Linked DNA regions of Bombyx mori. The protein of the gene in region 2 purifies or fractionates together with the protein of the main gene of each other region. This does not show direct contact. Links are inferred from orthologs where the notes say so. Each region holds a gene or a part of one and is shown on either strand. Other genes may lie near its edges.

What was found.
Region 1: the proteins of RpP1 (region 2) and RpP0 fractionate together in Homo sapiens (co-fractionation; 5 studies listed by BioGRID and IntAct, with this or other methods). This does not show direct contact. The link is inferred for Bombyx mori from reciprocal best matches to the Homo sapiens genes RPLP1 and RPLP0.

Annotation. Positions count from the first base shown.
Region 1 is NC_085121.1:15,549,623-15,553,920, forward strand, and holds the start of RpP0 (ribosomal protein P0), read right to left. Parts: upstream 2,801-4,298; 5' UTR 2,710-2,800; intron 2,540-2,709; 5' UTR 2,499-2,539; coding exon 2,445-2,498; intron 2,334-2,444; coding exon 2,097-2,333; intron 1,725-2,096; coding exon 1,568-1,724; intron 766-1,567; coding exon 641-765; intron 1-640.
Region 2 is NC_085121.1:13,787,245-13,790,133, forward strand, and holds RpP1 (ribosomal protein P1), read left to right. Parts: upstream 1-1,150; 5' UTR 1,151-1,300; coding exon 1,301-1,372; intron 1,373-1,651; coding exon 1,652-1,987; 3' UTR 1,988-2,281; coding exon of another isoform or gene 2,282-2,295; 3' UTR 2,296-2,389; downstream 2,390-2,889. Other genes in the region: mRpS14 (mitochondrial 28S ribosomal protein S14), read right to left, coding at 2,612-2,714. UniProt on the Homo sapiens protein: Plays an important role in the elongation step of protein synthesis.

The DNA.
Region 1 (4,298 bases), about 1.8 Mb from region 2:
AAATTATCAGAATACTTAGACATACTCGTATCCTGTACTCAACACTTTGGATTATTCAAGTACATATTCCTGATATTATTAATAGACCATTACAACAAAACAATTCCAATTTATTTTATTTAATAATGGTCCAATAGTGGTTACAACATTAAAAGTGTCAAAGGATTGATCTGGAAAAATATATTTACACTGTAATTCTTTTTGCTAAATTATGTAAATTTATCAAACGAAAGTTCAAACGAAAAAGAAAAGAAAGCATTAAGATTTACATTGTACTGTCAGATTTTTTTTGTGTTATTGCTTTAAATGTATAATTTTTTTAGCACTGAATAAAGACATTTTAAAGAAATTAAACAATTTAAAACTGTTTAATGGGTTTGCCTAGTGTGCATATACATATTTATTTCTGGTCCACTCTTTTTGAAAGATCGGCATGACAAAAGCTGTATACTAAATGATAAGCACACACTACTGTGTCTGAAAAACATTGAATATAATCAGGTATGTTTATGGGTATTCATAATTTTCAATTTAATGCCTATAATTGTAGCTTACTTTATTAATATACCTGTATAAATATAGCTCATAATGTCAAATATAATTAATAAGCTATGTGTAAATAAAATGAAAATATAATGACCTGCTTAACAACAAGACCATATGAGAATGGAGAGATGTTCAACATGTTGAGAAGGGTGGCTTCAGAAGCTCCAACCTTGTCACCGGGCTTCAAGATGTGTACATCGTTGATGATTTCAATAGTACCTTAAAAATAAAAATAACCTTAATTTTATTGGATACACTCAAAGATATAGATAAATTAGACATAATCAAAGCTTTTAACAATAACAACTCTGAGTTGTAAGTTTGAAATATTCACAGCAAAACCCTTTTATGGTTTCTTTGCAATGTTATCCTGTTTTTCTTAGTAGAGATTTCCTTTTTTTAATAGACTTGTTTCTTACAAATGCCAGTACAATTATCATTTTAGGAACAATTATACTAGGATAAGTTGTAAGAGTTTCATTTAGTCTGAAAGCGAAGCCAGAGAGATAGAAAAAGCTCACTGGTTTTAGAACAGACAATGATACTGTTGTGTAAAAGCAACTATGCTATTATTATATTATATAGTTAATATTTCAATTTTATTATAGGTTTGTTGGTCTTTACTTCGGTTTATTTGAATATGTAAAAGTAAATAGAACTTAAGGTGCCATAGGATTATGGAATTAACCTTTTTTTTTGATTCAACAGTGTTTTTTTTTTAGTTTATCCCAACATTACCATACAATAGTTTTGTAATTGGTAGTAAAAAAACATGAAATTTAATTATTCCATTTAGTGGATAAAATACTTTTCCTTAATGAGTAATCAACCTTATATAAATTTGCCCAAGAGTATTAAATTAACACATCTTTTATAACGCTCAAATAACCCCCATGATCTGAAAAACTTGCAAAAAGTATTTCCGCATATTATATTGTTTCAATTTTAGCTTGTATACTTTTTAATACTAAAATTTGTTTACTGATAGTGCAGATATGTAGATACAGTATTAAAATCTTACCCTTTGAAATCTTGGTAGGGATAGAAAGAGCCTGGAAGAAAGAGGTCTTCTCTGGACCGAGGCCGGTGTTGTGGGCGGGAATGACGACTGACAATGGGGCAATGGCACCAGGACGAGCTGGAGCTTGGACTTTGTTCTCCAACAGTTTGTCACGGACCTAATAAAAATATGATAGGTTTCTTAAAAACCAATGAAATCACTAGTTGGAAGGAAACAAGGTTTAAAACGCAACATTTTAAATAAAACTGGTATTTTTCATGACATACATTTTGATAAGATACTCTTTTATGATATGATATAATTTGATGTATTTTTCGCCATAAGCCTTAGCAGGCATACAGGCTATCTGAGGCAAGTGTCCAGTTGCTCATGTTCAGCTCAGGAACAGCGGAGCTATGGCTTATTGCTATACTAACCACTAATGATGACCTGATTGAACACAACTCTTGTTACCTCAAGGAATTGCTTATTGATAACTTATTGAAATGCTATATTAATCACTAGAGATAATTTAATTGAAATACATTACCTCAACGAGGTCTCCGCGGGTGAACACGAAGCCAACGTTGCCCTTGATGTGTGGCAACAGTTTCTCGAGGGCTGGATTGTTGTCCAGGTGGTCTTTGATGGCTTTGCGCATCATTGTGTTTTTTCCCATGAGCACGATACTGGAGCCACGTAGCGAGATACGGATCTGCTGCATCTGTTGCGAGCCCACGTTATCGGCACCCACGATGAAACATTTTGGGTACTCGTCCAAGAGTTGCTGTAGTTAAAATGAGTTATGTTCTAATTAAAATGTATATTTCACCTGACAATAAACATGTTTCCAGTTCCATATTATGTGGACATTATTAGATGTGATTAATTTACTTACGATGATCTTAACGAAGTAGTTAGACTTCCAAGTAGCCTTGTCCTCCCTACCCATCCTGGATAGTGTGGCGTAGGGACTTCGATGAAATTTAAGGACTGAAAACGATACAGGTTTTACTTAAAAGTATGTTTTGATCCTGACTACGTTAATCACAAAATATTTGTTTTAGGTTTACACAATACTCTTAATAATGAATATTATCTGGTTAATTTTGAATTTAATCATCTAAATTTACATATTTGTTCAGATTTAATTTGATACTCACCAAGACAAAACGCACGACTTCCGTGCGGGACAAATTCAAAATGGCTTTACCATAGATTATACACTTAATAGGCTTTACATTACTTTACAATAGGGGTAACCAATTTGAAATTTGAACAAACTGTATTATCTATGAATGAACTGAGCTTTCAGAAAATCGATCCTAGATTACGATCTTCGATTTAAGTCGATCTCCTTCGATTAGATATCTTTCCTTAGGCCGGTTACAGTGCTCCACCGACCGTCTGTGCGTATGTTCCGTCCTGACGGTACGCATTAACCGATCATCAGTTTTCTTCATTCAGTGCTCTCCTGACCAACAATCTGACCGGATTGGTATAGTCGGTACGCAAAAGGGAAGCGTTTGTAAATAGTTTAATTGCTGCTTATTATTTTCGAAAACGTTTAAGGAACGTTCAAGTTTTTTAAATTATTTCAGAATGACGATCAAGTTTTGATGAATTATCAGCACATACTTCTTGCCAGGCCTTTAACTTGCCATCACGATCTTTATATAACACGTGGCCTTTGTCCCAGAGCGGTTCACGAAGACGAACTTCGGTGATTAGGCGCTCGGTGTCGATATATTTGGCCACGTTCAATACGAATATGCTTTTTTTGATGATGATACACACATCCGTACGGTCGGTCCACCCATCGGTGCAACACAGAACGCGTTCATTTGTTTCCATAGCGCGTCGGTCGACTGACGGCACGCATGCGGACGCGCTAGACCGACGGTCCTCGTACGCAATGCGTAACAACATGCGCGTGCGTACGGTCAGTCCAGCACTGTAATGATTTATGAATTTTCATATAAACGACAAGCGCGACTGACGTACGCACAGACGGTCGGTGGAGCACTGTAATCGGCCTTATGATCTAGTGGAGAGATGTAGATGATTGTTATTCCCATTCATCGTTCTCGTCGAACCCGTCGCTTGCGAAGAAGGGCTCGGCGATTAAACTAACCCTGTGTCACAGGATCATTTCGGATCCTCCCGATCCACTAACGGTGCTTTTAGGTACCTAAAGCACCAGTCATCGTTCTCGTCGAACCCGTCGCTTGCGACGAAGAGCTCAGCGAGTATATTAACGCACAGACACACCTCAATGAGTTTCTCGCCGGATCTTGGGTCGCATTTTCGATCCGGTGGTGGATTCTGCGAGGCACTGCTTTTGCTACGGTCAGTGTTAGCAACTTCGCCAAGTTTGAGCCCCGTGAGCTCACCTACTCGTTCGGTAACGTTGATACAGCCTCTCAAACTCTCAAGACTATCAGTATAGGTATGGAAAAAAATTGTTTTTCGTGGTTTATCTAAAAGTACATGTTTCAATGTGTTTATCGATGTCAAAGTGCTCTGAAAATGTCCTATTATTCATTTAAGTAGTGTTCTGTCCTATATTATTTTCATGCAGCTCATAAGACGGTGAAATAAAAAACAAATTTAAATCTTAGTAGCAAATCGTCGTGCTTTAAAGTATAAGATAGATTACTCGTATCGTATCAGACAATGCGATTATGCTACTGTTCATATCATGAAAGCGTATACCTATTTTTAAAACAAAAAATACGCACTGCTTCTTCAT
Region 2 (2,889 bases):
CTCTTGATTTTCTAGGTCTCCTTCGGGGGCGCTCGGGCAGCTGTTAGCAAATCCCACCCCTCCTGGCTGAGCCTTTGCTCGCCCAACTGTCCTAGTGAAAGTGGAAAGGCCTCCGGGCCACCAGTAATCTTTCAATCATAAAAAAAATTGGGCCTTATTATGGGTTCATCTACCAACAATGGCCCAAAACGGTGGTTGCGATCAGAACGCGATTTGGCTGTGCCCCTGGCATCGCTGACTTCTTAGAGCCAGGGAAACCATTCATCAGATGAGCCGCATGCCTGTTAGTTTACAATGACAATAAAAGATAATTTATTTTCATCTTGACTAAATTCTATTCCACATCGAAAGAACAAATCATATTAAACTAACTATATAACTTATAGACCAGTCCAATTTAGATTGAAATACATTAAAACTTTATTAGGTAGGTATATCTTATGCGTATAAAAAACCGAGGGGCCTAAATCAAATATTAAGAAGTGTGTTAATGTTCTTAAAAAGCGAATAAAATTTATTTTAACTTTAGTAAAATGATAACGGTTTCAAATATCATTTTAAACTAGACAAAATAACGCAGATAAAGTATTTAAAAACTCGATACACGATATATAAGCCTATGAATTTTTAACCTACATAAATTCGCTGACCCTCTATATTTTGTCCCAACACAAAGCTTTCATAGAATCCGAATAAAGTGTACACGGTACAACTGGAAGAGATTGATTGCATGCTATTCGTTTTTTTTTTGTGTTATTCCAATAGTTTTATTAACTGCTACATACATAAGTTTTATAAATAGTTTTAATGATTAAAGAACTTGGACTTTTTGGCAGGAACGCGAGGAGTGAAGTTGTGTGTTTTTTTTTATTTTGTCTATTTAGTGTTTCTTCAAGTTTAAATGTGTCAGGCTGTATGTCGGAGATTCAGTTAGTTTATTACAATATGCCGATAACTTGGTTATTTAAATGTCTGACATGTCTTTTCCTTCGTTTTTTATTATTCATAAAGTGTAAATAATTTAAACGGCGAATTATAAAAATCTTATTACTTGACACATGCATAACCGTGTCGGAGCCAAAAAAAGAAGAACAATCCTGGTCATTAAAAATTAGGTATGTATTTAAAAAATGACATTGACAAAATGAAATTATGACATTGACAATGTGACAGTGACAGCTCAGAAAACTGCTAATTCGAACATAACCTCCTTTCCTGTTTCTCTTTGTTGTCAGAACTCAAACGTGCTTGTTCTCTCTTGAGCTAAGGCCTACGGCAACTTGCACGTTCAAAACTAAAAATGGTGTCAAAAGCTGAATTAGCATGTGTTTACTCTGCTCTCATCCTGGTTGATGATGATGTTGCCGTAACTGTAAGTAATCTTAATATTTGTAATTTTAATATTTTAAGGTTATTGAAGAATGTTTGTGTGACTAAATCCACGAACATCACACAAAATAGCTACAAAATCAGAACAACCAAGCATTTGTTTAGCATAGTAAACGTCTATTTTGTTAAAAATTCTGTATATTTTCCATTAATCTTAACTATTCATTTGGCGCCATATCTTTCGTATACTTACTTGTAGTTTTTTTTTCTAAAGTAAATATTTTTATGTTTTTGGAATCTAATGACAGTTTTATTGAAATAGGGTGAGAAAATTTCCACCATCTTGAAAGCGGCGGCTGTAGATGTAGAGCCATATTGGCCAGGTCTGTTCGCCAAAGCCTTGGAAGGCATCAATGTCCGTGACCTGATCACCAACATCGGCTCTGGAGTGGGTGCTGCTCCGGCCGCTGGTGGAGTGCCAGCCGCTGCTGCTGCAGCCGGCGCTCCGGCCGAGGAGAAGAAGGAAGAAAAGAAAGAGGAGGAACCCGAGGAGTCCGACGATGACATGGGCTTCGGTAAGCAATCCATACATATACATGCGATATTCAAAGTTTATTTTTGTTCAGATTTAAGTAGTAATTTATATTTTTATTTTTAAAGTTTTTTTTCCTGGGTAAAACATCTTTAATCTATTAAAACAAAAGTCTATAAAATGAATAACAGTTTCTAGTAAACAAATAAAAGGAGTACTTAATTAGAATGATTTGTTGAAAGATTATTCTAATAACAAAGACAAATTTTATCATAATATGTAAACTTCAATGATGTTTGATCATGTATTAGCTACTGAATCTTTTGATTGAAAATTTTTTACTGAGTATGTGGAGAATTGTTTAGGTCTTAATATTTGTAGTTAACATGTTCATCAATTTAATGTTATTTTCTGTTTCAGGTCTCTTTGACTAAGAAGCTTTATGAAGAAATAAAAATATTCCATTTTGTCTATTGTAAAGCTTTTATGTTATAAGAAACTGACTTTATTAAAATAAGTTAAATAAAACCATTGTCTTTTTCCCTTTTTCTATAATGGCATACGTTTACATGAATAGCAGTGTAGGACTAGTGTTGCCTATGAGCTTGCCTACACATTTAGTGAAATTAGCATAACCAGATTAGCCAATATATAGGTGATTGAACTGTAGAGATATTTGTAAGAAATAAAGAAATTTCATTTAATATTTAATTTAATAACATTACTACTATCATAGAATAAATTAGATTTTCAGCCCCACATAGCCCTCTGTACTCCTGAGAGTTTGTTGTAATCCGCTAGATGCCTCCAGACTATACGACTCATGCGCCATTCCTTTACTATACCTCTGGGTCTGAAATCAATTTCATATTAAACTTTTATTGCTCAGATTGGTGGACGAGCTCACAGGCCATCTGGTGTTAAGTGGTTACTGGAGCCCATAGACATCTACAATGTGAATGCAACACCCAGTTTGAGATATAAGTTCTAAGGTCTCAGTATAGTTACAATGGCTGTCCCACCCTTCA